Linked DNA regions of Elephas maximus indicus. The main gene of each other region encodes a partner of the protein of the gene in region 4 in a complex. Links are inferred from orthologs where the notes say so. Each region holds a gene or a part of one and is shown on either strand. Other genes may lie near its edges. The genes, in order: SNAP25, NAPA, CPLX1 and VAMP2.

The links.
Region 1: the proteins of VAMP2 (region 4) and SNAP25 are in contact, whole or in part, in a crystal structure (PDB 1SFC), measured with the Rattus norvegicus proteins. The link is inferred for Elephas maximus indicus from reciprocal best matches to the Homo sapiens genes VAMP2 and SNAP25. Residues at the interface, in NP_036795.1 of Rattus norvegicus: Asn25, Thr27, Ser28, Asn29, Arg30, Arg31, Leu32, Thr35, Gln38, Val39, Glu41, Val42, Ile45, Met46, Asn49, Lys52, Val53, Glu55, Arg56, Lys59, Leu60, Glu62, Leu63, Arg66, Ala69, Leu70, Gly73, Ala74, Gln76, Phe77; in NP_112253.1 of Rattus norvegicus: Gly131, Gly132, Phe133, Ile134, Arg135, Arg136, Asn139, Leu150, Glu151, Ser154, Ile157, Gly158, Leu160, Arg161, Ala164, Leu165, Met167, Gly168, Ile171, Asp172, Gln174, Asn175, Ile178, Asp179, Ile181, Met182, Ala185, Asp186, Asn188, Lys189.
Region 2: the proteins of VAMP2 (region 4) and NAPA are in contact, whole or in part, in a cryo-EM structure (PDB 3J97), measured with the Rattus norvegicus proteins. The link is inferred for Elephas maximus indicus from reciprocal best matches to the Homo sapiens genes VAMP2 and NAPA. Residues at the interface, in NP_036795.1 of Rattus norvegicus: Gln36, Ala37, Asp40, Glu41, Val43, Arg47, Val50, Asp51, Leu54, Glu55, Gln58, Lys59, Arg66; in NP_542152.1 of Rattus norvegicus: Arg116, Thr118, Lys122, Ser157, Ser159, Ser160, Lys163, Leu197, Tyr200, Ser201, Lys203, Arg239, Ser268, Ile269, Arg271.
Region 3: the proteins of VAMP2 (region 4) and CPLX1 are in contact, whole or in part, in a crystal structure (PDB 1KIL), measured with the Rattus norvegicus proteins. The link is inferred for Elephas maximus indicus from reciprocal best matches to the Homo sapiens genes VAMP2 and CPLX1. Residues at the interface, in NP_036795.1 of Rattus norvegicus: Arg47, Val50, Asp51, Leu54, Asp57, Gln58, Ser61, Asp64, Asp65, Asp68, Ala69, Gln76; in NP_074055.1 of Rattus norvegicus: Leu41, Arg48, Tyr52, Glu56, Arg59, Glu60, Met62, Arg63, Ile66, Arg67, Tyr70, Gly71, Ile72.

The regions. Positions count from the first base shown.
Region 1 is NC_064843.1:48,990,520-48,997,517, reverse strand, and holds the start of SNAP25 (synaptosomal-associated protein 25), read right to left. Parts: upstream 3,021-6,998; 5' UTR 2,889-3,020; intron 1-2,888.
Region 2 is NC_064829.1:101,403,296-101,410,990, forward strand, and holds the start of NAPA (alpha-soluble NSF attachment protein), read left to right. Parts: upstream 1-4,694; 5' UTR 4,695-4,875; coding exon 4,876-4,973; intron 4,974-7,695. UniProt on the Homo sapiens protein: Required for vesicular transport between the endoplasmic reticulum and the Golgi apparatus. Together with GNA12 promotes CDH5 localization to plasma membrane.
Region 3 is NC_064823.1:158,722,838-158,729,760, forward strand, and holds the start of CPLX1 (complexin-1), read right to left. Parts: upstream 3,017-6,923; 5' UTR 2,929-3,016; intron 1,343-2,928; 5' UTR 1,270-1,342; coding exon 1,239-1,269; intron 1-1,238. UniProt on the Homo sapiens protein: Positively regulates a late step in exocytosis of various cytoplasmic vesicles, such as synaptic vesicles and other secretory vesicles.
Region 4 is NC_064837.1:12,615,340-12,622,458, reverse strand, and holds the start of VAMP2 (vesicle-associated membrane protein 2), read right to left. Parts: upstream 3,016-7,119; 5' UTR 2,578-3,015; coding exon 2,398-2,577; intron 1,914-2,397; coding exon 1,755-1,913; intron 1,661-1,754; coding exon 1,541-1,660; 3' UTR 995-1,540; coding exon of another isoform or gene 978-994; 3' UTR 1-977. UniProt on the Homo sapiens protein: Involved in the targeting and/or fusion of transport vesicles to their target membrane. Major SNARE protein of synaptic vesicles which mediates fusion of synaptic vesicles to release neurotransmitters.

The DNA.
Region 1 (6,998 bases), on a different chromosome or scaffold from region 4:
TTACTACGCAGAGAGGTGCCACTGGCAGAAATATCAATCTTCTGGTTGATACTCTGGGGTTAACATTTGGAATTCAGGAAATGTCTTTAGACAAGCTAATTATGGGTCAGTTTGTGTTGTGTGTGTATGTGTGTGCACATATGTGGTTGCGCAGGTTCAGCAAAGTAAAAATAAAATTGTGAATTTTTAGGAGGTGGTGCCATGGGAGGTTAAGAAGATTATAAATTGTTTTGTAATCCGAATGCCACAGTGGTAATGCAGAAAATGCCAATGGCAGGCAGGTGTTACCGTCAGAGGGTCTGCGTCAGTGCTTCCTGGCTGGTCCTTGTGTCCATCTGCTCCTGCCTCTTCTTACCATATTGCCCTGGATTTTTAAAATTTGAAACCTAAAATGGAAAAGATCTGGATTTTTTTTTCTTCTGAAGCTTGTCAATAATATCAATGTTAAATTCATGCCTCAGTGATGTTTTTTCTTTAATTTTTCAGGAAGATGTCCTAGAATTCGCTCCATAATTTTGCACATCTCCTCTTCCTCCCAGCTCTGTGCCCTTTGCCAGCTTCACTGCAGTCCTCTACCGCCCTTCCCCCCTCTTCCACTAGCAAATAAACCCAGCAGTAATTACTAATGTCCAAGGATGTATTTCCGGCAGCGTTAGGCTTTCATTTGATGCAACTACGCAGAGAGCTGTCTGGACATGAAGCATGAAGTCAAAGCATTTTTTAAGACTCCTGCCCATCTTTTTTTTCTCCTTCCTCCCATCACTAAAACCCAATTGTTTATTTCTTCTGCAGATTGCAGAGTTATAAACTTCTTCCACACAATTACATACTCTTGAATACATTTCCACCCAAATAATTTTACATCCATGCACAATAACAGATCAATATATACATATTTGGAAATTCATGGTTATCTATAAAAACAAAAATAAACACTAGAAAATAAACAAATAGCTGGGAGCAAAAGTCCTTCTATGTGGATAGGGCATTTTAACACCTAGTATACAAATAATTAGTGTTACCCTGGCTAAAAACATTCCAAGATCTTATTGTGAGGCTTTTAAGAGGGTCATGATGGCGTTTCCTTAATGCGTTGTATATATTTTTTACATACGACACAGTTACTCTTATTTACCAATGACTCTATTATAATACTACTATTTTGTTCCTGGTCATTTCATGCCAATTTTATCTATATCAAATGGAAAGAAAGCTCTCTGTAATGATTTTTGCTGGCTCAGGGGCTCCAAGCCTCAGAGTAGAAAACGGTCAGAATACTTATCACCACCTCAGCAAAATCCCGCAGTGCCATAAAAGAAATTGCAGTAGATCTTAAGGTCAGAGTCTACTTTCAGTCTAACACTGTGGTTCTTTCACCTGCAGTACGCTGAAGGACACAGTTGGATCCACCTAAGAAGACCACTCTTAATGTTGTCAAAATCACAAACTATTGGCCTGAGATAGCCAGTATTCACAGGAAATACTTCCCCTAACTCTAAAACCATTAGCAAAGAGGTTAAATCTATAGACTGTGGGACTCGTAAATATTTATCAGAGATGTATTTGTGTGGGTGTGTGCTTGTATTCACACATAATTATAAGAGTGAGGGAAAAGACAGAGGGAGAAGGATTAATTCTTAAAGTAGTTGATTCTGTTTAGTTCAGCAACCCGTTTTTTTTTTTTTTTCACCAAATAGAAATACAGAGAGATGTATTCACTCCTATAAACGATAGTGTTGGCATCTTTATGTATACTACACTCATGCCTACCGAAGTTTCATAGACAGTGCAACGCCTACTCTATGTTAAAAACAAACACAAACGAAACCTTGATTATATAATTGGAGAATAAATACAAATTTTAAAAATGTGTTCATTTCCTATCTAAAAGGAGGTGAAGAGGGCATACAGAATGGTTCCACAAGTAGACTTTTTTTTTTTTTTTTAAGCTGTGCAGGAGGTGCGGAGGGAGCAAGTAATTACCTGCAAAGGAGTCCCTGTAGGCACGATTTTTTTTTTACCTACTACGCCTGCTCTATTAGGTATCTCTGTCTCCAAGAGGCAATTTGGCGTCCAATCCTGGCGCATCTCGCCCTGGCCAGGCACCTGTGCCGCAAGTAGCTGCGGCGCTGCGGCCGGATCGCTGTCCGTGGTGCTGGAAGGTCGCGGGAGCCAGCGCGGGCCCTGGGTACGCTGTCCAGGGTTCTGAGTGCGGGCCTCCGCAGTCCCCGAGGCGAGCCCACTGCCGCCAGCCCTCCACAGAGCCCTCCCACCCAGCATGACCCGCCCGCCTCCCGCCAGCCTGCAGTTGACGTGGAGCAGGCGGTATAAATCAAGTCCGTGGGGGCATGGAGGCTGCTGTCGCTGCCGCAGCTCAGCTGGCCCGGGGCGGGAACTCTCTCCTTGTCTTTTCGCCTCTCCAGCGCCCACCCTGCCTTGTCCTTAATTCTTCACTGGATAACTGCTTTCTAATCACAACGATCATAATAGGGTTAGGTGGACAGATTTTTTTGTCTGTTTGTTTTGGTCTACAGAAAAAGAAAACAGCATCCTAAACACCACTGAAAACTGCATCGCAAAATGGAAGAGAGAAGGTCCCACTACAGTTTGAAAAGAGTAAGTTATTATTTGGTACGTATCCTTGCGCTTCCTCCCATCGCTCCATCTGCAGTGTCCCCATTCATCCCTCCCCCCCTAACAGCTCACCTCGAAAATACTTTATAAAGCCCCAGGCGGGAGTCTAGCCAGACGCGCACACACAGAATACCGCACCCTAGGTGCACAAATACTTGTATTTACCGAAGCCCACTTGGTCTGCCCAGCTGTGGTCCCCTCTGAGTTTGCAGTCACCGAGATCCAGAACCATGGCCCAAGGAGGGGCTCCTTACCTTGGCTTCTCCAGAGGATGGTATTCGCCGGGACCCTGCAGGTTTCAAGTGTGGAGGAGCGGCCGAGCAGGAAGGGAAGGAAAGACAGCACCTGACCTCCCCGAGGTTTCGTCTTCAATGCAATGTGAGCTCTGCCCTCATCAAAGATGGCTGTCCCTTTTGACGTCAGCAGCTTTTAATAGCCATCTCCTGGAGGGGCGGGGAGGAAGTGTGCTGGGGGAGGGCGGAGGGAGGACAGAGGCTGGAGGTGGGAGGGGAGGAGCCGGAGGAGCGGAGCGCTTGACTCAGTTCCCTGAACGCTTCACTGCAAACCTTTGAATTTTAAGTCTTTTATAAACAGCCGAATGGGGCGATTCTTCTGACTCCATTTTAACAGTCGGTCTTGAGCAAACACATTTATCTCGCTACTATATATATGTGTATATACATATATATGTGTATGTATATGTATATATACGTATATGTGTATTTAATTTTTTATACATATATAAGTATGTGCATATATATATACGTATAACCCAAACCCTATACATATATATATATATATATATATATATTTTTTTCCCTGCTGAGTTGAATCATTGGTTGAGTCACAGTGGAAGGGGGAGGGGAAGACAGAGGACGGGGGGCGGTGATGGTGATGGAGGAGGGGTGTTGGGGGGTAGATTTCAGCAGAGATTTGTTTTCGCCAAAGAAGAGGGTTCAAAGGGGGCATCCCTGTCAACCCTGTCTAGTTCCATATATGGCCAGCCTACGTGGGTTGCTATTTTTATGAGTGATCTCTGTTTTATCAAAGCAGCATCGAGGGCTTGGAGTTCTCGTTAATGTGGTCAGTTGGAGAGAGAGTCGCAGACGTTATTTTAAAGTACGTCAGAGCAATTATCGCCGTGATATATCAAACGACTTGGGGACGCGGAGGAAAGGCAGTTAGCCCAACCAGCGTCGTCTTGCTAGGGCTCCAGGCTTGCAGTTGCGGAGGGCAACATAGATGATGCTGTTTTCGGTTGAATTTGCAATAGGAGTCTGGGGTTTGACGTTGAGTATCTTTTTTTATCCAGTAGGGCACGTATATGCCTTACAGAATCATAGAACCGCCCAGACCTCCAGAGAAAAGTAGAAGGCTGCAGGTTCAAGGGTGGCTTGGACACGACAAAATTCTGGTGGTTCATTCGGTGCGCAAACCCTGGGTTGGGGTCCCGCTGATGCTCAAACAGGGCATGGGCGAGAAAGGCTAGTTTTGCTGGTCATAAAAGATTAAAAATAATAATCATAAAGCAATAATCCTAACGGTCTTCCCTCGTGCATTAGGTGCTGGGGGGGGGGTTATGCAAACAGTTCCGCGGTGGCAGCCTCTGGATGATTCACAGGTGTTGGGGAGGCTGTCGCGGGGCTCTCCGCGGGGAGGGCGAGCTGGGGAGCGCGTGGGAGGTGGGGGACCTCAGCTGAGGAACTGTTTGTACTTTTCCGGGAGGGATGTGATTAGAAGTCGTGCCTTGCAACGTTAAAACTTGATGGCCTCTTAGACGATGGAAAATCCTTGCCTTTTTTGGAAGAAACCTTTCAGAACTGGGTCTAGGAAAACAACACACAAGGAGCCCCTCTACCCCCTCATCCCCCCCTCCCCCAAACAGCCACCAGCTGGTTTGAGAGCCAAGCTTAAGCAATAATAAGGCTTTTAATTGTGCTTGATTGGAGAGAGAGAGCTCAGGAGAGGAGGAAAGTAGAGCTGTAAAGGGACTGCGTTTAGAGGGAGCAGAGCTGTCAGACTTTAATAAAGGACGCCTCTAAGTCATTGTTTCTTAAAGCTTCTCTGACTCAAAGGGTATTTTGAAATATTACTCTTTGCAATCACAATTAACAAATGTCATTTGGATTTTTATTAAAGCTGGATTTCTAAAAAACAAAAAAAAACCATGCTACTGAAATTTGTTTACTTAATTATATAGTAAACATTTAAAATTCCTATACCATAAACAACAAGAAAATCTGTAAAGTTCTTACTTATATACTGTTGAAAGTGTCCTAGCTCTGGCTCTTACTTTTATTACAAAGCAGGGTGGGCTAGGGTGGGGGAAGTGCTGGCATAGCAAAAGCTGTTACAGTTAGGATTGTTTCCAAAATGTGGCACACACACAAAAAGACAGCATGTGGAAGTTCGGGGAAGAAAATCCTGCAGTGGGGAGAAACAAAATATGTGTCTGGCCTTCAGACTAGAAGTCATTCAGGCAGAAAGTTTTGTGAAGGAAAAGAGGAGGTGGGGGAATTTCCAGATCAAAAAAAAAAAAAAGTATAAAGGAATCACATCAGTGATGGAGGCTCATCCTACAGACAGAAGCTGAGTGGAAGTCACCAGGGGAGGGCTGGCGTGGCGTCTGAGCTTTCAACAGCTGATGTCCTACACTGACATCTTTAAAAATGATAGATAAGAAGAGAGAGCCAGGTTGATTCAAGACATCACAGAAAACATCACAGGTCCTAAAAGATATCTTGTGGTGGTCACAGCACTTTCCTTTCCCCTGTGTTTAGGTCAAAAATGATGTCCTTTGAAAGATTCATCTTATTCTGGGAAAGACAACAGAATCTAATTTGAGTAACATAAATATTGGACATTTAGCTTTATTTGGAGCTGAAAGTCTACGAAGGATGACCAAACCCAAGCCAAACCCATTTCCTCTGAGCGAATTCCGACTCATAGTGACTCTATAGGACAGAGTAGAACTGCCCCATAGTGTTTCTTATGGAAGCAAATTGCCACAGCTTTCTCCCACAGCGCAGCTGGTGAGTTTGAACCTCTGACCTTTCAGTTAGCAGCCAGAGCTTCTTCAAAGATGACTAGGTAGTGCTAAGGGGCCATAGCTGTGCAGTGGTTAAAGCGCTAGGCCGCTAACCAAACGGTTGGCAGTTTGAACCCACCCACCAGCCATTCCTGGGAGAAAGATGTGGCAATCTGCCTCCTTAAAGATTTATATAGCCTTGGAAACCCTATGGAGCAATTCTAAAAAAAAAAAAAAAATTTTTTTTTTCTATAAGGTCGCTATGAATTGAAATCAACTAGAGGGCAGTGGGTTTGATCCGTTGCCATCAAGTGTATTCCGACTCATAGTGACCCTGTAGGACAGAGCCCCATAGATAGTGCTAAATGCTTTTGGAATATAAGAATGAGATTTCCCCCTCTGCTTTTCTCATGGCTTGAGGATTAAAAAAAAAAAAAAAAAACAGAACAAAATGAAACAAACAAAAACAAAATAAAAGTCAACCTTGCCACAACCAGCAGATTTATTTTACTCAGGGTCTATAATGGCCTGAAGCACACAACGAAGGAAGGTGATGGAAAATTTGCTCCAAAATGATTCAGCTGCCTGTGAGTTATTTCTGCAAAGAACCAACACATAGAGTAACTAATGCTTAGGATCTCATTTGATGAGAAGTGAGGAAATTACCTGCTCAGCTGGATGGATATTTACACTATGCTAATTCAGTCTCTGAAAGGCTTTTCTGGTACAACATGCCCCAAAAGTATTCTGGTTCGCAATAGCTCCAGATCCAAGGAGTTTACCTTGTATTCTCTGAGGTCAGGGGCGAGATTCATAGATGACTCAATAATTACAACCTCATAAGGAATAATAGTAATAAAAACTTTTATAGAATGCCATATGATCTTCCAAAGTCAACTTGGAAGTAGTTTTAGAACAAGCCAAACTCAGAATCTCCCCTACTCTTACAACGTCCTCCTTTGGAGCATGTTTGAAACCCTGTGACAATGTCTCAAAAGACTGTTAGGGCATATCTTAGTCATCTAGTGCTGCTATAACAGACATACCACAAGTGGATGGCTTTAACAAAGAGAAGTTTATTCTCTCGCAGTCCAGTAAGCTTGAAGTCCGAATTCAGGGCTTTGGCTCCAGAGGAAGGCTTCCTCTCTCTGTCAGCTCTAGAGCTCTAGAGGAAGGTCCTTGTCATCAGTCTTCCCTTGGTCTGGGGGCATCTTAACACAGGAACCTCAGGTGCAAAGGATGCACTCTGCTCCCAGTACTGCTTTCTTCGTGGTATGAAGTCCCCATGTCTCTCTGCTGGCTTCTCTCTTTTATATCTCAAAACAGATTGGCTTAA
Region 2 (7,695 bases), on a different chromosome or scaffold from region 4:
ATCTTCTGGTTTCCCTGGCCTGTTGATCCCACAAGGGCCTTGAGCCCTGGCGCGTGCCAGCGTGACAGAGAACAGAAAAATGAGTCCCTGCCCTGGGGGAGCTGGTGGCTTGGGGCGGGGGGAGCTGGACAGATTAACTCGTACATTCATTCAGCAAGCATTTATTAAGCACCTACTACAGCAAGTACCGGGGCAGTGGTTCCTCAGTGGTAGAGTTCTTGCCTGCCATGACAGAGACCTGGGCTCCATTCCTGGCCAAAGTACCTCACGTAGAACCAATACCCATCCGTCAGTGGAGGCTTCTGCATTGCTCCGACGCTGAACAGGATTCAGCATTGCTTCCTAAGATAGACTAGGAAGAAAGGCCTGGGAATCTACTTAGGAAAACCCTATGAATCACAATAGTCTGAATGACCATCACTCATGGGGGTGGTGCAGGACTGGGCAGCTTTTCGTTCCACTGTGCGTGGGGTCGCCATGAGAATGGGGGCCGACTTAACAGCAGCTGAGAACAGCAGTACCTTTTAAAAAACGTTCTCTGACAGCTATAAAGAATGGGCTGTACGGAACAAGAGTGGAAGCCAGAGATTGGATAGAAGACTCTAAGGTAAAAAATGCTGGTGGCCTGGGCTGGGAGTGTGGGGGTGAGGGTAGCAGTGCAGAGGAAAAGAAGCCCACAGACTAGGGATGCCTTTCGGAGCTGGACTCTGCAGACTTGTTGACAGGTTGCACATCATGGGGAGAGTTGGTAGGAAAAGGGCAGAGTCAAGCCTGCTGTGCAGGTTTGGGGCTTCAGCAGCTAAGTATGTGCCATCAGCCAAGATGGTAAAGAGCAGCAGAGCTGGCGATGGCATCGCAGTGTGATTGTGTCTACAACTGCTGTATTCTGAGCAGGGCAGAGGGTGGTGTCAGATGGTTCACAGAGGGGCAGCATTTACAGCTAAGTGCTCAAGAGTGGGAAGAGCAGAGGAGGAAGTGGTTTAAAGCAGTTGGGGCTCCATGGTTAAGGGAAGGATCCCAGGCATCAGGTGAACCTGAATTTGCATCCTGGCTCCTCTTCGTTCATCATAACTGTGGACAAGTCATTTGCCCTGTGTGGGCCTCATTTTTCTCATCTGTAAAATGGGATGAAAGATGCATACCGCCATCTGCCATGTATCTGTTAAATGAGAAAACATAAATTAAGTGTGTGGCAGGGTGCACCATATAAACTTAGCTCCCGTTGAACAAACACTCGTGGTATTGCTATAATTGCCCGGGTCACAGCTTAAACAGCAAGTCAAACTCCATGGCTCTGGAAATGTCTTTGGCTAAAAGGGTTGGGGGTGGTGTATTAGTTATCAGGAGCCCTGGTGGTGCAGTGGTTAAGCACTCAGCTGCTAACCTAAAGGTTGGCGGTTCAAACCCATCAGCCACTTTGTGGGAGAAAGATGTGGCAGTCTGCTTCTGCAAAGTGTACAGCCTTGGAAACCCCATGGGGCAGTTTTACTCTGCCCTGTAGGATTGCTATGAGTTAGAATTGACTTGACAGCAACCGTGGGTATATTAGTTTTCTATTATTGCACAACAAATTACCCTGCAACTTAACAGTTAAAACACATGGGAGCTCTTAGAATAGTGCCGCTTTGATGGACACGGAACCAAAATTACTGGTGGTAGTTCAGAATCACCCCACCCAATTTGTGGTCAGCATACAGTGGCAGCCACCTGTGGGTGGTCCAGGAGAGCCTGTTTAAGAAAAGAGTGGGGCGGAGGTTTCTTGTGCCTTAAACTCTGCTCAGCCAAACCCCAAACAGCATTTTCTCAAACAGTGGTTCCCGGATTGTCTGCAACCAAGTCATCTGGGAGCTTGTGGGAAAAAACGCAGACTCCTGTGTCCTGCCACAGGCTTTCAGAATCTGAATCAGGTGGGGGCAGAGCCTTGAAACCTGAATTTTTAAAATGAACTTTGAATTTTAGAACCGTTTAGATTTATAGAAAAAATTGCAAAGATCATACAGAAAGTTCTCATATACCCAACACCCATTTCCCTATTATTAACATCTTACGTGGTTATGGTACACTTGTTACAATCAATGAACCAATATTGATACATTATTATTAACTAAAGTCCATACTTTGTCCAACACCCATGGAAGCAGCAGTCAGGAAATCAAAGGATATATTGCATTGGGCACATCTGCAGAAGACCTCTTTAAAGTGTTAAGATGCAGAGATGTCACCTGTGAGGATTAAGGTGCACCTGACTCAAGCTGTGGTATTTTCAATAGCCTCATACGCCTGTGAAAGCTGGATGATGAATAAGGAAGGCTGAAAAAAATTGATGCATTTGAATTATGGTGTTGGTGAAGAATGTTGAATATGCTGTCAACTGCCAGAGGAATGAACTAAATCTGTACATCCAGAATGTTCCTTAGAAGTGAGGATGGCAAGACTTTGTCTCATGTACTTTGGACATGTTATCAGGAGGGACTACTCCTTGGAGAAGGACATCATGTTTGGTAAAGTAGAGGGTCAGCAAAAAAGAGGAAGCCCCTCAATGAGAAGAACTGACACAGTGGCAGCAACAGTGGGCTCAAAGGTAGCAACGATTGCGAGGATGGCGCAGGACTGGGCAATGTTTTGTTCTGTTGTACATCGGGTCACAATGAGTTGGAACTGACTTGATGGCACTTAACAGAGTACTTTATTCAGATGTCCTTAGCTTAATGTCCTTTTTGACCAGCCCTGGTGGCCCAGTGGTTAAGTGTTCAGCTGCTAACCTAAAGGTTGTTGGTTCAAACCCACCAGCCGCTCTGCGGGAAAAAGATGTGGCAGTTTACTTCCATAAATACTATAGACTTGGAAACCCTATGGGGCAGTTCTGCTCTGCCATATAGGGTCACCATGAGTGGGAATCGTCTCAACGGCAGTGGCTTTGAGTGTCCTTTTTCTGTTCCAAGATTCCATCCAGCGCATCCCATCACATTTAGTTGTCATGTCTCCTTAAGCTCTTCTTGGGTGTGACAGTTTCTCAGACTTCCTTGTTTTCAGAGATTGACAGTTTTGGGGAGTACTAGTCAGGTATTTTCTAGAAATTGGGATTTGTCTCATGTTTTTCTCCTGATTAGACATGGGGTTATGGGTTTTAGGGAAGAAGACGAGAGGGAAAGTGCCATTTTCATTACATCATATCAAGGGTATATGCTGTCAACATAACTTATCACTGTTGATGTTGACCTTGATCACCTGGCTGAGGCAGTGTTTCTGCACTATAAAGTTACTCTTTTTTTTTTTTCCCTATCCTTTCCATACCGTACACTTTGGAAGGAAGTTATTATATGCAGCCCACACTTAAGGAATGAGGAGTTATGCTCCACCTCCGTGAGGGTGGGGTATCTACATAAATTATTTGGAATTCTTCTGCCTAGGAAATTTGTCTGTTTTCCCCCATTTATTTATTCGATCATTTAAAAATCTGTATCAGTCTCCCTGGATGATGCTGATGGTTAACGCACTCCGCTGCTAGCCAGAAGGTTAGAGGTTCCGGCTCACCCAGAGGCACTTCAAAAGAAAAGCCTGGCAGTCTTCTTCCGGAAACTCTGCCACTGAAAACTGTGGAGCACAATTCTACTCTAACACAATGGGGTCACCAACAGTTGGGGTCGCCAGGAGTCTGTCAACTGAATGGCTACTGATGGTGGTGGTGAACTTGTGATGATTTTATACTTGGAGTTATAATCCAATACTACTTGTTACTCAAATTGCTCCAGCTGTGGCCACTGGGAGCCCTGCTCCAGTGCCCCTTTGACCTCCCCCCAGCACTGTGCGTGTGTTTTGTTTTCGTTTTAGCACTGCCTTACACTCTGGCACTACAAGATGCTCTGGGCCCATCTGCATAATGCTCTGCCCCTCGTTCCCTTATTGCAGTACGGTGGTAGAAACCAAGATCTAGGGCGTAGTGTGCGTGAACCTAAAACTTACCGTGGTAAAATACGTTAACACAAAGTTTGCTATTTTTAGCCATTTTAAGTGTAGAATTCAGTTATATAACTACATTCACAATGTTATATAACTATCACCACTGTATCCACAACTTTCATTATCCCAAACCGTACCCACTCAGCCCTCCCCCCAGCCTCTGGCAATCACTGGTGTCTGTACATTTGCCTGTTGTACACACTTCACATAACTGTTCAACTTCTTAAGCAAGTAGAGTTAGAGAACCTCTGTTCTCAAAGTTCTGTTTCCGGTCTTTGGAGTACTTTCCTAGCCTCCCCCCGCCCACCAGTTTCAGCGGTCGTCGGCAGAGGGCGCATGAAAAGGCAGAATGTTTTCTTTTTTACCACACACGCCCTTCCAATTGGAAGAGAACCGCGGGAGATAAGCACATATGCGGCGGTACTAAGCTCTGCGCCAGTCGACTGTCACGTGAGGGTCGGCCGTCAGCTGACCAGTGCTCAAGGTCCATAAGGAGGGGCGGGCCCTAGCGAGGGCAGCTGATAATTGGTGGAGTAAGAACCAGGAAGGTGGCGCCCTGGGGGCGGATCTTCACGGCGAGGATTTGGATTGGCTTAGGCCGAGTCACGTGGGCAGTGAGACTGCCGTAAGCTGCTGTGCGTACGCGTCTAAGTCTTGCAGATGCAGATTGGAGTTTGCGGCTCATTGGTCGGTACGCGGAGGCTGGCGGGGGCGTGGCCGGTGGGGCGCGCACCTTGTCACGAGGCTGTTGGTTGGTCGGCGTAAGTCACATGGTGCTGGGCGGCCGGCGGCGCGCGCCGGTGCGACGTCAACGCAGCTCGCTAAGCTCCCCGGACCTGTCTTCTGCGGCCGGGCCAGGGCAGAGTCTTCCCAGGGCCCGGTTCGGACAGTTTGCTGAGTCCCTTTGCGTCCGCCATGGACAACTCCGGGAAGGAAGCGGAGGCGATAGCGCTACTGGCCGAAGCGGAGCGCAAGGTGAAGAACTCGCAGTCCTTCTTTTCTGGCCTCTTTGGGTAAGAACCGGGCCGCGGGCCGGCGGAACCTAGGCTGAGTGACGGGCCGAAGGAGTTACGGCCTGAAGCGGCGGGGCAGGCACAAAGGGTTCGGCCCAAGAGGACGGAGGGGGTTCCGGGATGAGGAGACATGATCCAAGGCAGCGGGGGGACACAGGCTTGAGGGCCAAGGGGCCCAGACCTTGGCGACAGGGCGTGAGCAGAGACAGTGGGACGGCGGAGGGGACCTGGGCTGAGAAGACACTAGCCGAGGCGACACCATCTTGAGGCGGCTAGGGGAACTTACATCCAAGACGGGCCAAGGGGCTGGAGGAGAACATGGGCCGAGGCCTTGAAAGGGGCTTGGCCTGAGAGGTTGCGGCAGCTAGGTTAAGGAGTCTTTCGGAGCTCTAGGAGAACCTATTTCAAGGATCCTTGATGAGGCCTGGGGCTGAAGCCACTTGCCCGAGGTGTTGACATTTCCGAGGCCCGCGAAAGTGGATTTGTGTGGACCCTGGGTGAAGGGTGAGGACCGAGGAATCAGACACCAGGCCGAGGGTATCAGGGCTCCGGGGATCCTGAGAGTGGTGAGCCCAAGTCAAGGTGTGCAAAGTGCCTGGGGTGGTGACCAGTCTTAAGAGTATCTTAGCCTGGAGTGGAACCCAAGTGGAGGAGTCCCTGGGGATGATGTAGGAGGCCTGAGCTCAGAAGCTGGAGAGGAATGTGTGGTGAGGGAATGGGTGATGCCGGCTTGGCTGAGATTGAGGGATCAAAGGGAGACATGAGGAAACTGAAGAACCGAAGGGAGGTGTGTTAAGGCTGCTTTGTGATCATTGAGTAAGGATGGGGAGGTCTGGGGACAGTGGCGGGTGCGGGGTGTGAAGAGGACCTGAAAGGGGCCTGTGAGGCAGAACTGACACCTGTGACATGATGGATATTTCACGTAAAATTTATTAAGTCTTGAAAGTAGTCCTGACGACATCCTTTGAGAAATCTTGGTGGTTTTCGGGTGTCATAAAGGCCAGGTTTGAAGTTTGATTCTACCCCTTACTTTGGGATGCTGAGTAAGTAAAGTTGTTGAACTTCCCTTTTAAAGGGGATCACTCATAAAGCCCACCTCAGAGGTTTGCTGTGAGCGTGTGTAAGTGCAAGCCTGGAATGCAGTTAAAGCTTGGAAAGTGTTGGTTGTTGTTAATGTTGCTACATGTGAGGAGACAGGCTTGGAGCCTGTAGGGGGGCTGGTGGGGTTAAGGCCTGAGCCTGAAGGGAGAGGTCTGGGAGGAGTGAGGAGGGATCTGAGGGGGAAAAAGCCTAAGTGTGATAAAGAGGAGGAGAGAAGGAGGGGGGAAATGGCTCCGGGCCAGGGGGTCTGCAGGGTTAGAGGGCTCTGGGCAGAAGAAGTAGGGATCCCTGGAGGACTAGAGGAGGGGGTGCTGAGGGAGGGACTGGAAAGGGTGAAGGGGAAGCTGTCAGGACTGTGAGGAAGACTAGGAGAGGAAGTGCTTGGCTGCTAACTGCAGGGTTGGCGGTTCAAACCCACCCAGCAGCTCCGTGGCAGAAAGGCCTGACAGTCACCTCCCTTAAAGATTACTGCCAAGGAAACCCTGTGGGGCAGTTCTGATCTGTCACTTGGAGTCACAATGAGTTGAAATCAACTTGAGGGCATCTAATAACAACAGAGAGTTAGGAAGGAGTCCCCAGGTGGCTCAAATGGTTAAATGGTTTACTAGCTAAAAGGTTGGCAGTTTGAACCCACCCAGAGGCACCTCAGTAGTCAAGCCTGGCGATCTGCTTCTGAAAGGTCGGAGCCTTGAAAACCCGATGGAATAGTTCTGCTCTGCACGCGTGGGATCAGCATGAGTGGGAATGGACTCCATGACAGCCAACAACAAAGAGGAAGAACTGCAGGTCGGGGTGGGCATGGACTCAGAGAACTCAAGAGAGGCAGGGACCAGGGAGGGCTGTAAGGCTGGAGAACCCCCAGAAGGCTAGGAAATGGGGTTTAGGAGGAGGACCTGGGGGCTAGAAGAGATTGTGTTAGGAGCCCAGCAGGGGTTAGTAAGAAATAAGAGTAAGTTCTTTTGAGAGAGGAGATGGTGGAAGGAGCCCTCCCTTGTTATTTGAGATTGGAAAATGTGCAGCAAACGGACTGGAGGAAAGTGGTGTGAGGAGACAGCCAGGACTGATGGGTCATATTGATTACGCAAAGAATGTTGTTTTAGAAGCTGAGAGGGGAGAGAGAGTGTTTGTGTTTTTCTTCCTTCACAAGGGGAGAAGTTCAAGTGCAATGTATTGGGGTGGGGCCAAGAGCTCAGTTTCAGGTAGTAGTTTTCCTGGGTGGTTCTGGGTGTCTGGTCCCTTCTGACTAGGAATCGGGGGCTCTTGGGTTGTGCTTGGAGGGAGCAGCTAGGCCAGCGAGATCAGAGCCCTTGAGGCACTTGCAGCCTGCCTGGGTGCCCTTGAGTCTTTTCCAACTCATAGAGCTGCCCATTGGGTTTCCTAGGCTGAAATCTTTACCCAGGTCTTTTCTCCCACAGAGCGGCTGGTAGATTCGAATTTGCCAACCTTTCAGCTAGTAACTTAATTGTTGTGTCACCAGGGCTCTTTAAGGCAAGATGAACACTGGCGAATTGTGATCAAAGTGAACTTGTATGGGGAAACAAGGGGTAGATTATGTTGTTCGGGGAAGTTCTGAGATGAGAGTATGAACTGGAGGAAGGCTATTTGTGAGGAGTGAGCTGGA
Region 3 (6,923 bases), on a different chromosome or scaffold from region 4:
CCCTGAATCATGTCTTGGTGACGTAAGCATTACAATTAGGCGGAATCTGCAGACTACCCTTGGCCATGAGGCTCAGGCCATGTGGCCCCGGGCCAGGCTCCCCTGTCTTCTGATTTAATTTGTGTTGATCAGAAATGCAGCCATGTTCCACAAGACAATCTGTGTCAGCTCCTGTCCTAGGCGGTAGGAGGAATGGAGGGAGGGAAGACAGCATGAGGCCAGGGGAGGGGTCAGGCACCAGACCTGGGGGTAGCGGCGCCCCCCCTTGTTCTTGGCACATCTCTCACCAACTCCCTCTCCCCCATCACAGTAGTACTGAGAGAAAGGTTTACATATAGATCACCTGATTCATACTAGGCTGTGAGTGAAATGCTCCCCTACGCAGACCGCGTGTGAGTGCAATGCCATCATACCCAAAGAAGACATTCCTAACGGTGGAATCGGCCCCTGAGAGCTGGTGCAGAGGATGGGTTGCAAGGTCTTCGGTGCCATTGTGAACCAACCCCATCTGCAGGGCTTCCAGTCCTGGGCCAGGGCCTCTAGCCATGATAATGGCCTTGGGCCATGTATAGGCTCTTTCCAATAGGAGCCAGCTCTGTTGGAGGGGGAGTAGTATGTCCCCCGCAAACACGCACACATAAGAAGCTGAACTGGCTCCTTGGAAGATGGTGGGATCACATGAGGTGTCCCTGGCCTCTTCTTGGACCTCTGTGTTCAAACATACATGTGTCCTGCCAGCCCTGGGGGCAGTGCTTTCCCCCATATCCTGAGTGAGAGCCACTGAGTTCTTGATGAAAGCCACAGGTCCATCTCTGTCCCTATGCCCCATGCAACCACTGCAGTATCTCTGCAGCTCCTCCTTGTCCACAGCTTGGCTCACCAGGAGCAAAGCCCTGTGAGGGTCACTCAGCCTGACCACAGTTAGGGCCGTCCTTTGATACTCCCACCCTGGGGACTTCTTCCTTAGGTTGAGTGAGTGTATTTATTACTGGTCAGCCTTTCCAGTGGTCTCTGCCCTGACAGTGCTGGGGTCAGGTTGAACTTACACACACCCTCCCGCCTTCCCTGTTCCCCCTGTACTCCCTCCCCTCCCTGTGCTGGCAAAGGAAATTCAGAAAGGCTCAAGTCTCTGTCAGGACATAGCCTTCTTGTTCCCTGTGCTTCTGCTCCGTGTCTGCAATGATGCCTCTGGGGGTGTCTCTGTGGGTCAACAAGCAGCCCCTGCCCCCGCCTCCTACCTCCCAGGGCCTGTTTCATCACGAACTCCATGACAATGGCTTTGATTCCTCAGTGGCTCCTCGAGGTCGAAACTCACATGCACGTGAGGCCAGGCAACCTGTAACTGGGGGAGGAGAGCAAGGTGGTCACAGTTGCCCTGACTAGGCTTGGAGGCAGGGGCTCTGTGTGGGGAGAGACCCACTTCCTCCTTGCCTCTGCCAAGCCTTTCCCAGAGCAGAGCCTGGGGGTCTGGGGGATCAATGTTTGCACCACATCCCTTGTGGGGTGGGCCTCTGCCTATGTGAAGCATTTTTCCACACCCTGACTAGGGCGGACAGGTTACAGGACCCCAGCTAGACCTGCAAAGGGGTCTCTTTAGGTCCCTGAGCCTTCTGGGGTCCAGCTTTCAGCTGCTATTACAGGGAGGGGAAAGCTCTGACAACTCCAGGGGGTGAAGTTCCTAGCAGCCTGGCGACAGCCTGTGCAGAGCAGAGGCGGGCCCAGGGGGCATTTGAAGGTGACAGGATGTGCTCAGTGGCTCAGGATCCAGGCTGCCACCACTGGAGTGATCTCAGGGCCACAAGAGTGGGGTATGTCTAAGGGATGAGGAAGGGACAGGGCAGGCGGGGCCTGAGTAGGTGCTCTTCAGGGGAGGCCCCTGTGGCTTCTGAAGAGGGGTGTGTGGGAGCCAGGCTCTATCCTGGGGAGTGCTGCCTCCACCCCGCCTGCAGCAGACAGGGGGTGGAAAGGAGAAGCCGCAGGGGGCCCAGTCTGCAAGGAGCCAATGGGAATGATGGGAAGGAAAAACCCCTCCATGCATCTTTGTGGGGAGATGCTCCAGGGTCCCAGTCCCCAGCCCAGGCCAGCTGGGGCCCTGGTGGGGAAGTGCTTCCTGGAAAATCACAGCAGCTTCAATGCCTCCTGTACCTTGTGCGACTTCTCCAGGAAGGAACCCCAGGTCCCTGGAGACCTGCTGTTTTACTGTTTTCCTCTTTGCAGATGAAGGAGAACCTACTGTGCAGGCGTGGGGTAGGGAGGGGTGGCCGGGCCAGGGAGTGGAGACTGCAAAGCGCTGGCTCACAGGGGCGCCTTTGGCGCAAAGCAGATTCTCTCCCAAACTTCTCCCCTGGCTCCAAGGGAGGGAGGGAGGGCGAGTGCTGCAAGGGCCCAGCCTCAGAGAGTCTCGGGGTGCTGCGGGACCTTCCTGACGAGATCCAAACCAGCCCCGGGGCCCAGACCCCCCACACGCGGGCCCGGGGCTCCTGCCGCCGCACCCCTCGGCTTTGTGGGCGAGTTGCCCGGCTCTGCTGAGCGGCGTGAGGTGGGAGCGCTTCAGGAAAGAGAAAGAAAAAAAGCAGAGAGGACGGGAAGGAGAAAGGGAGACTAGAGAGGCAGGGGAGACAGAGAGGCTGGAGAAGGGAAGAAGCCAGGAAAAGAGAGCGAGGGCGGAGGAGGGCCCGGGACTGCGGGGCTGCTTCAGCACCACGACGACGGACAGCGCCCGCGCGCCGGACAGAGTCCTTGCAGAGGCCCTGCACAGCCAGGGCCGGGCTGGGGGAACCGGGCCGGGGTGGGCCGGCACCTGGGGAGCAGATATCTGCGGGATCAGGGACCTGGGGAAGCGTAGATTTGGGGGGACCGGGAGCTGGGGGAGCAGGGCCTGGGGAGCGGGCCCGGCCTGGACGGGCTGCGGGCGGGGGCGCCGGTTACCTTCTGGGGCCCAGGAGCGAGGCGGGCAATCAGCGGCGGAGTGAGCGCGGGCCGGCCAGGTCCATGTGGCGCCGGCAACTGCGGCGGCTGCTGAAGGGCACCGCGACGAGGGCGCGTCACACGGAGGCTGTCCCCGCCCCCCGCCCGCGGCAGAGCATGACGAGGAGGGCGGGGGAGGGGCGCGCTGAGGGGCGGGGCGGAGGCTTGGCGGGGGCGGAGCGGGAGCCACGGAGCCGCGCCCCCAAACATTCCGGATTCCCCGGCCATCCGGGAGCGAGATGCCCCTACCCGGCCCTCAACTTTTAACCGCAGACCTCCCTCCCCCAAGTATGAGAGCCCCTTCCATGTGGACTTGCCCGGGCGGGGGTCCCGCCCTCCTCCCCCACAGGGCCCCCCCTCCCACCCCCTCCTGCGGTGAGGGACTGGTAGGTGCGGAACCCCGGGGAGCAGAAAAATCCCTGCTTGTTCAGCTGGAGCGGGGCAGGGGTTTGGGGATCTCTGCCCCTCGCAGTTCACTCGGCCAAGGCGGGAGGGGAAGCACTGTGAGAGATTTTCCTTGCGCGGGGGGTGACCGTGGTCCTGACCGGGCTGGGTGTCCTGGGCGCCTCCCAAGACCCAGACCCCGCCTCTCTTGGGCCCACTCACTGCAGGGCGGGAGAAGGGCACTCCCAGAACCCCGAAAGCCCACCCAATTCCCCTCGCGGGGACAGACCTGCAGACCAGCCGGGAGCTAATTTGCATGTATCCCAGTCGCAGACTTAGAAAGAGCACCACAGAGTTTCACTGTAGTGGAACAGGCTGAGGGACCCCCGAGGAAAAGAGACCAAGGGACCGTCGCAGCCCCCGGACGGGCAGGCCCAGGGGGCGCTGCTGTGGAGAGGCGGCTGGAGAGAGGGCTGTGTGGGGCGGCCCCCTTTCCAGGCAGGGACTCGTGAAGGTCACTGCGGACCGGGACGCGGCGCGGGACAGGGTTCCTCCGGACGGGGGCCGGTGGCCGGGTCCTCTCCGCCAGAGGGGGGCCCACTGTGGCTCCGAACCCCGCACCCCGTGGCCTCCCCCTCCCGGGACCTCCGGGATTTCGTCTGCCGAGGGTGCGCACTGCGGTGGGAGGGGTCGGGGTCGCTGCAAGGTCAGAGCGCTGGGCCTCCTGCCCGCTCCTCCCTCAATGGCTGCAGGGGATCCTGATCTGAGCACCTGCATACAAGAACTGGGCCCCTCTGCCGGCAGGGACTGCAGCCCAGCTGGCTGTCTGAGTCACTGGGGGGGCAGCCCAGTGGTGGCCTTCCGCCGGCACCTTTGAGCAGGTGGCCACACTGCATGAACCACGCACTATCCTCTCCTGGCTGAGTCATGGGGACTCCTCCAGGCCTGGAGTAGAAGGGACATCCTGGAGCTGCCCCAGACCCTCACCAGCCCCAGGAAGACCACCCTTCTGGCTCCTATCTGGTGCCCTGGGCCTCCCTCTCTAGCCCCCAGGAAGCTTAGCCTCCCTGCAGAGAGCCTGGACACCTGGATCCACGTGGGACCTTGTGCCCTGTTCCTCTCCCTCCGATGACCACCTCCAGGCCCGGCAGGGTGTCAGTGGCCTGACTGGAGACCCTCAGCAGACCAAGGATGAGGGCAGGGGGATCAGGGAGGCCAGCACTGCTCCTTTGTGGTGGGGAGGTAGTTGGGTGGGGTCCCACTCTGGCCTCCACTGCAACCAGCGTGAATCTGAAGGGACCTGGGGGCCAGGAGCAACTTTGGACAAGAGGCTGTGTCCAGGGTTGTGGGGTCTCCCTGCCACATGGAGCTGCAGCCTCTTGGGAACTCAGCACTGTCCCTTCTCTCACTGACAGCTCCCGTCACCTGTCACCTGGAGGCGAGACCCACAGGCCTTGCCCTGGAGGTGCCAGGTGAGAAGCAGGAGTGAGGGGCACCAGTTCTGCCCTCAGGAGCACCCAGGCCCAGGGTGCGGTTCGCAGCCAGGGTGGCCCGAGCACCGCTCTGTGCAAGGCTAGCTGCCTCTCCCCTGACTGTCCAGGAACAAGGGAAGATGAGACACAGGGCCCTGCAGCATCTTTGGAGCCTGGGAGGGATGGTGGTGGGAGGGTCCTGCAAAGAGAGAGATCACTTCTCCCCATGGAGCCTCCTCTCTCCACCGTCACTGCTAGAAAGGGCCACAGCTGACCTCCCAAGTGTGAGTCACAGAGGCTCCTAGAGGTGAGCCACACTGAGCCACAACCACCCCTCGCCTGCCACACAAGCCTTCTGCAAGGTGCCCAGTGACCTCAAGGGTAGGCTCCAGTGGGGTAGGGGGCAGTCTGCATCATGTCTGCAGGATAGAACGGTGTCCCCAAAAGCAGGACATCAGACAGGGTGTAGGGAGCATCCAGGGGTCCACACCTCAGTGGTGGCCCCATAACCAGGGCCTGACAGAGCTCCTCATGTCCAGAGTCAGGGACCTACGAGGGGCCCATGCGTTCTGCCTGCCCCCGTGTCTCTCTGTTTCTCTCATCCTCCTCTCTCCCTGCCTCCCTCTTTCTCTTTGCCTCTCTTTTTTTGTTTCTCTCTCCTTCCCTCCCTCTCTGTCTCCATCTCTTGCTGTGTTTCTGTTTCTCTTTTGCTGCCTCTCTGTCTCCATCTCCCTGTCTCTAGCTCTCTCTGTGTGTCTCTGTCTGTCTGACTCTCCATTTTTCTCTCTCCCCTTACCCCCTTACATCACCTGCCCCCCTCACAGATCCCTCCCCCAACAGCACGCACACTTCTCAGCCCCTTCAAGATGACAATTCCAGGTCAGACCCCAGTGATCTGGGATGGCTTTGAGGATGACAGGGCCTCGGGGAGCGCTGTGAGGATGTGATGTGGGCCAGAGCCAGCACGGAACTGCTCATGCTGTCAGGGCTGGGGTCAGAGGGGAGGCATGGGCTGGGCCCAGGTGGGTTTGTCCTGTGGTAGAGGAAAGGCTTGTGGCAGATGGCCTCCACCCAGCCACGTCGCTATACCCAAGTCCCAGGGGCAGGCAGTGCCTGAAAGAGAACCCCAAGTATTGCATGAACCTCCTCCAAAACCCCAGCGGCCAGAAAGAGGCAGTAGTTTAGCGAGAAACCTCTGTAAAATCTGAGGACGGCTGAGCAGAGGGAGGGACAGCAGAGGTTGCTGGCTGGTGAAGACTCAGGGGAAGAGAGCTGTTTTCTGGGCCTCTTGAGGTCTCTGAAGTGGCCTCCATACAGGATGACGTCAGGGTGGGAGGGGGGGCAGAAGGGGATGACCAGGAGGTCAGGTGAGGCAGCTATGAGGGCGGAGGGAGGGTGGCCAGCAGTGGAGCCCCCAACAAGGGGGAGGCTTTTTGCCAGAGGGTGACCCCACAGAAGGGTCAGCTTTGGGGAGTGCATACTTTTGGCCACCATGAGCCCTGCCTGTGTAGCCCTAGAGAAGCTGCCCTGCCTTTCTGGGCCCTGCCTGTCCAACAGGGATAAAGCCACCTGTCCCACTCAACACCATCTTCCAATGTGGCTACTCTCCAGAGAGCAGCCCCAATGAGGCCCAGAAAGCCCAGGACCCCAGGCAGGAGGGTACGGAGGATCACGCCTCCCACCCAAAGCCAAACCAAACCAAACTCATTGTCTCTAGTCAATTCCAACTCATGCTGGCTCCCAAGTGTTGCAGAATAGAACTGCTCCATAGGATTTTCTCGGCCGTAATCCTCACAACTGGACCAGCAGGCAACATCATAATAAACAGAGAAGAGACTGAAGTTGTCAAGGATTCATCTTACTTGGATCCACAATCAAAGGCCATGGAAGCGACAGTCAAGAAATCAAAAGACTCATTGCATTGGGCAATCTTCTGCAAAAGACTTCTTTAAAGTATTAAAAAGCAGTCACCTTGAGAACTAAGATGCACCTGAACTAAGCCATGGTCTTTTCAATCACCTCTTATGCATGGGAAAGCTGGACAATGAATAAGAAAGACCAAAGAAGAATTGATGCCTTTGAACTGTGGTGTTGGTGAAG
Region 4 (7,119 bases):
GTGGGAGGAGAAGGTGAATCAGGCAGATGGGAGGGAGGGAGACCCCATGGGAATGTCAGTTGAGCTCCCCACTCGAAAACTGGGGAGCAGGAATGTGGGTAGAGACCCCGAGTGGCAGAATTATATTGGTCCGTCATAACACACTGAACTCCAAGACACATACACCAGCCAGGGAACGGAGAAGAGGGGCCAAGAGGTTTGGAAAATGGGGGTAAGGGAGGCAAACTGGACTAGAGGGGTTAAGAGAGGGCAATTCTGGGGACCAGAACAGCCTGGTTCCCCAAAAGCTCAGGCTCCCCACCACCTGCAAGTAATGCCATGAAAATGAAAGCGTGATACGAGAACCAATGGGGACTCCTCAGTAAAAAAGAAACATGGGTGAAGAGTGATGAAACAAAAAAGAAACCAACAGAGATGTCAGTATGCAAATGATATGCTAATAAACATGCTGGAAGCTTCCCAGAAGACCTTGGGATTCTTAGAACCCTGTGGGGCCAGTCTCAGAGCCTCCCAATGGATGCAGAGGAGATGCACCTAGGGAGGTCTGGACAGTTGCACTTTGTTTTGAGGGGAGGGCTGGGTGGAGTGGGGATGAGTGGAAGGCCTGGGTAGGAAGAAGGATCAGCTAAATCCAAGGAAAGGAAAGGAAAGGAAGAGGGACTATTGCATAGCAGATGCAAATGAAGGGACTTGGGGGAAAGGAGGGGAAGGCAAGGAAAGAAAGAGAGGAGGTGATGGGAACCTCAGGAAGGAGTGTTAAGGACAACCGGAAAAATCTTCTAGTAATAAAACTACAAACAGACCAAATATATATAATATTATATATGTATAAATAACAGCTGGCTATTTACAAGGGGACACACACAGACACACACACGGATTCAGGGGAGGGGCTGGAAGATATGGCTGAGAGGTGGAGGAGCGGCTGGGGGGAGGAGGAGAGGCCCCTCTCTGGGCAGGGCAGGCTCCTCAGGGGTTTAAGTGCTGAAGTAAACTGTGGAGAGAGGGAAAGAGGAGGAAGGGGGAGCAGGGAGAGAGAGAGAAAGATAAAGAAAGCAGTGTGTCAGGCCTGGCCCTGCTCCAGTCCTCCCCACTCCCCGGCTGACTGACGTCCCTTTCCCTCTCTGGGCCTCAGGTTCTCCATCTATAAAAGCAAGGAGCTGGACAGGCAACTTCTGAGGTCCCTTTAACTCCATGGTATGGCCCTGGGACCACAGACCCCTAGTCCTCTAGGTCTCTGAGCCCACAAGCTCTCAAAGAGTGGGGTGGTTGGCTTCTAATCTTGAGCTCCTGGGCCTCTCCTGCTCTCCCACTCCCCAATTCCAGGGTACTCAGCCTGGGCTCTCAAGGCCCAAAGGGTCTTCAAGGGAGCAGTAGGGATCCACCAGCTTTCCTGTTTCCAAAATCTTAACAGAAATCGCCCAAAGCCAGGCAAAGTGCAGGCTAAACAACATCAGGTTTGGGGATCTAGATGAATCAGAACTGCCACTGGCAGCTATGTATGTTTTTTGCTGAATAGTAAAAACAATGTTAATGACCTTCAAAACCCAGGATCCACAGGGGAAACCTCTCCAGAGAAAGGGCCCTGGCCACCCACTCCCCACTCACCGATGATGATGATGAGGATGATGGCGCAAATCACTCCCAGGATGATCATCATCTGGGGGCAAGAGGGGAGTCCATGAGACAACCTATGCTACCCCCATTCGCCCAGCAGCCCTCCTACCCGCCCCCCAGCCCGCCCCCACCCTTACCTTGAGGTTTTTCCACCAGTATTTGCGTTTGAGCTTAGCTGCACTTGTTTCAAACTGGGAGGCCCCCGCCTGGAGTGCGTCCGCACGGTCGTCCAGCTCTGACAGCTTCTGGTCCCGCTCTAGGACTTTGTCCACGTTCACCCTCATGATGTCCACCACCTGAGAGGCCCATGAGGCAGGAGGTGTACCAAGGCCCGCCTCAGTGAAAGCACTGCTCGAACATGCACCCACTGTGCCATATATGGAACATGCACCCCGATGCTGCCAGGCTAACATGCCAAGGACGCATACAGAACACGCCTAGCACACCTGGGGACATGCAAGGAGCACACATCAGGAGCCTGATGGTAGCCAGACACCTCAGATATCATAGCTCTATCTATGAAGCCTCAGTAGCCAGTCCATCACCGAAGCACACCTGCTCCAGGCTCCAGGCTGGTACACCCCTGGCTGGCACAGGGTGATTAACATCCCAGAGCCCTTCCAGGTACACGCTGGCAAAGATGGGGCATGGTATGTCTTTGTCCCCAAACACATAGCCATTAATTATCCGTCATCTTTTCCAACCCAAGATGGGCCCCCACAGTTGTTTGTCAACCCCTAGGATCCTTCCACGGGCTTTGACACCGCCCCCCCCACTCACCTCGTCCACCTGGGCCTGGGTCTGCTGCAGTCTCCTGTTACTGGTCAGGTTTGGAGGGGGCGCAGGGGGGCCTCCCTCCCCAGCCGGGGCAGCAGGGGGGGCGGTGGCAGCGGTAGCAGACCTGAGGGGCAGGGACGGATTAAGACTCAGGGCCAGGGCTCCGCCCAGCCGCCTGTCCATCCATCCATTCCTCTCTTCCACCTTCCCGGGAGGGAGGCCACCCGACGAGAGCCCTGGACTCCGTCCGGCCCCGCAGCTGAAGAGCTGCGTGACCTTGAGCGAGGCCCCTCCCCCCTCCGGGCCTCAGTTTCCCCGCCTGTCATATGAAAGCGACATCACAGACGCGGTCCAGGGTCCACCTGACATGACTTGCGGCCACGGTGACAAGGCAAGGCGGGATGGGCGGACACCCGGGTCCGCTTCCACCCGCGGCCATCGTCTGCCGGCCAGCCCGGGACGCGGAGTTCCCTGGGCGCCGCGCGCAGTCACGGGCGCTGGCCTGCCTCCGGGGTGCGGGCAGCGCGGGGGGCACCGCCAAAGCCCCGGGCACTCCCAGCTGTCCGTCCCTAAGGGTTGCAGGCCTGCGCGGGGAAGCCCGGCGCGGGCGGCGGGCGGCCGACTCACATGGTGGAGGCAGCGGGCGGAGGACTTGGCAGCAGCAGGGATGGCGATAGCGGCGGCGGCGGCGGCGGCTCGAGCTGGCTCCGACTGGCGCTTGCTGCCGGGGACAGGAAGATGGCGGCCGCACGTCACCCACATCCGGGCACTGCGGGCGGGGGCGGGGCGCGGCAGGCGACTCGTCGGGAGCCGGCCGCGGGGGCGGGGCGGGGCTGGGCGCGGCGGGGCGGGGGCCGTGTCTGCCAGGTCCAGGCCCTCGTGCCCGGGGGCCCCTACACCTTCCACTGCACCTGCGAGCCCCCAGACCCACCGCCAACCCGCCCTGTCTGACCACAGCCTACCCCAAGCCCTACAGCACACCGCAGCCGGGCCCTATATCTCACCCTCAAACCACATCCTTCCTCATCTGTGAAACCTGTAAGCCAGTCCCTACCCCACATAGCCCAAGGTCTCACCCGGTGCCGCGGTCCCAAAGTCTGGAGACCCGCCTTTCTCTCCTCAGCACTACGAATGAGCTGGGAGTGGGTGGGTAGGGTGGGCGTTCAGACGAGGACGTGCAGGTCCCAGAGGCAATGCAGAGAGCCGGGAGTCTTTTGCTGAGATGGAGTGGGGTGGGGGGGGGTTCGTCGTCACCCCATCGTCCAGTAGGTAGATGTCCCAAGGGAGGTTTGGGTAGAAGGGAAATGAAGAAAAAGAGGCGGTGCAGGCTTTTTCCCCTCAGCCGAGCCCGAGGAGGGGCTGCAGGGGATGAGAGTTGTCCCACCTCACAAGTGGGAATTCAGACCGGGGTACTTGGCAGGGGAACATGAAGCAGGCCCAACTGAGGTAAAAAATGAGGTAGGGGAGCCTAAAGACCTCAGGAAGGAGGGCAGGAGACTGCCCCGTGGTGGCCGAAACCTAGCTCTGGCCCTAGTGGGGTCAGCTACCCCTGCCGTGGGGGAAGAGGACTCATCCTTTCACTCCAGGCACTGGGCCTGGGCCAAAAGGGCAGATTTTTGTTTGTTTGCTTTGTTTTTGTTTGAGGAAGGAGGACAGTGGGTACAGGACCAGCCTGAGGGAGACACCTGCAGTGCCCAGGTTACACAGTGTTACTTTCCAGGTGGATTAGCCTCATAAGGTATGACCCTGGAGAATTCTTTGGCCTTCTCTGGACCAAAAATATGTTTCATATGTAGGCACTGTATATATAGTTGTTATATGGTTTGATCTGTATAACACGGTAGTAGGAGATGATCCTTCCATCTCTGACTGGCCTCTGTTTCGGTCCTTTACACAGCCCCGGCAGGTGCACACACTCACACCCCGCCCATCATCAGCGGGCCAGGCACTGCGGGCATTGCAGGTTCTGGAGGGTGACGGAGATGAGACTGCCTGTCCTGCCCCAAGCGTGAAAGAGACATTTTAGGGAAGAAAAAAAAAAAAAATTTTTTTTTATTTAGTGACCCTGGGGTGAGGGTGTTCACTGCATCCCAGGCAGCTGGGGTGGAGGGAGGCCTGGTGGCCTGGTCTCTGAGACAAACAGGGGCCAGCTCCTTCCCTCCCCAACCGAGGCTTCCCAGGGCCTCTGGGTGTGAGAACTTTGCCCACTGCAGCACCCCCCTTCCCAGCAGAAGCCTGGGGACCTGCTCTGTCACCAGAGGTGTCATTTCACAGCTGTCTGGGGGAGGTGAGTGAGCAGGGATTATGCAGGATGTGGGGACTCAGCAGGATCTCAGATCAGATGCTCTGGCTCCCTCCCCCTCTGCAGAGCAGCCATCTCCCTGCCCTTTGTGCACTGACACAGGAGGGCTGGGGTGGCTCAGCCTATGCGGAAAAGAAAAAAGAGCAGCTTCAGTAGGGGTCTCAGATGGCATACTGGCTGCCTGCTTTTTGGCCCTGCAACCACTCTCCTTTCGGGCCAAAGAGCAAAGACGTCAAATTCCAGGCTTTAAGTTCAAAAGGCTCAGTGTCAGGGTATAAGACAGGGAAGGTTGGAAAGCAGTGCAGACAGAGCCTCCCCACCCACCAGAACCCCCTGCTCTAGCTGGGGAGACCAAGCTTACAAGCAAGCAAGATGCTAGACACTGGTTTAGGAGTGACTCCAGTTTTCCCAGGCAGAGTTCAGGGGTTGTGGGAGCCACAGAGCCCCAGATAAATTGGGGGAGCCAAGGCCATTGGGTGTGGGGTAGAAAGCTGACACCTTGCTGCTGTTCACTCCGCTCCAGGATCCTGCGACAGGGTAGAAATGGGGGCACATATGATCCACGGAGGTGGGGACCCAGGAGGATACGCCTCAGAGAGAGAACTCACAGTGTGCAGCCCCTCTTGGCACCACCCCACCTAGGGAACTCCCCAATTTTAGATCAATGGTGGAGGCAGGAGAAGGGGTGGGGTGGGATGACTGAGTTTACTTGGAAATGAATTAAGAGAATGTTTTCTGCAAGCAGATAGAATAGAGACCCAAAAAAGAAGTAGTAAGTTGAACTCCAGAAAAATGAAGTAGTATATTTGCATAACTGAGGTCCAGGCTTCTCCATTTACCAGCTTCTGGGTTAGCCCTCCATCCCCACCCCAGGGCCATTCGAAGGCTCCTTCAAAAGATGTGGGAGGGGCCCAAGGTTGCATTTCTAACAAGCACCTCCATTGATTCCGATGTAGGCCACAGGAGACCACACTCTAAAAAGGTTTTCTTTCATTATTTTTTTTCCTTCTTCTAACAAAAACTGGCTTAGAAGTTGGAATGGAAGGGGGCCTGTTCATTCCCATGCTGACTCAAGAACTTGCCCCATCCACATGAGTCAAGCCTGACCAAACTAGTAATTAATTTGAGGGACGTCGTGTGTGTCAACCAGCTTGTAAAGAAAAGGCCTTCTAATCAGGAGCAGAAGAAATCTGCCCTTGGGAATGCTGGACTAGGGGCCTAGCCCCATCACAGTCAGCTGTTCAAACCCACTGACCTGTGGCTGAGCCGTCTAGGGCAGAAGGCTCCCAGGGCTGCCTGCGAAGCCCTGGGGTCCTGGAGAGAAGAGGACCTACTGTGTGCCTGACACTTTACATGGATTGCCACATGCACTAAAGTAGTTTTTAATTATATACACAGATGGTGTGACTGCATTCTTCATGTGAAATACTAAAACATTAAACATAAAGCTAAAGTCCCCTTGGCTGCCCCTCAATTCATTTGTCCTGACTTATGGCGACCCCTTGAGTTACAAAGTAGAACTACTCCATAGGGTTTTCTTGGCTATGATCTTTATGGAAGCAGATTGTCAGGGTTTTTCTTCTGTGGAGCAACCCCTTGCATCACCTATCCATCCCGTGGCTGTCGAGTCGATTGCGACTCAGCACCCAGGCTCTTTACATTATCAAGTTGTTGTTACTTTTTGTTGAGTCAATTCTGGCTCATAACGACCCAAGGTATGCAGAGTAGAACTGTTTCATAGGGTTTTCAAGGCTGTGACCTTTCAAAAGCAAATCACCAGACCTGTCTTCTGAGGCACCTCTGAGTTTGAACCACCAACCTTTTGGCTGGTAGTAGAATGCATACCCATGTGCACCTCCCAGGGACCATATATTATTATATATATATATATATTTTTTTTTTTCCAAAATGCAATGTCTTTTCTCTCTGAGGATAATAATTATATTTTTAAAATTCAATGTTAGATTTTAAGATTGATAATACAATCGTATTGAAAAATTGAAAAAGTACACTGAATGTACCATGAACCCTCGCTTGGAGCTACCCAGAAGCCCCGCCCTGACACAGGTGCTCTCCAGTCCTGTGAGTCCCCAGGGAGAGCTGGTGCACAGACCAGCATATGCAGAGTTGGTGCTTTTTCCTTTTTTTAAAACACAAATGCTAACAGACTATACACATTGATTTGCACCTTCAATTTTTTTTTTACTTAACAGTTATGTTTTTTTTTCTTGTGCTGCATAGTATCTGTCTCTTGCAGATTCCTCTGATTTGCTTTCTATAAATATATATATATATATATATATTTTACTATATGGGTGTCTTGGTTATCTAGCGCTGCTATAAGAGAAATACTGCAAATGGATGGCTTTAACAAACAGAAATTTATTAGAAGTCCGAATTCAGAGTGCCAGCCCCAGGGGAAG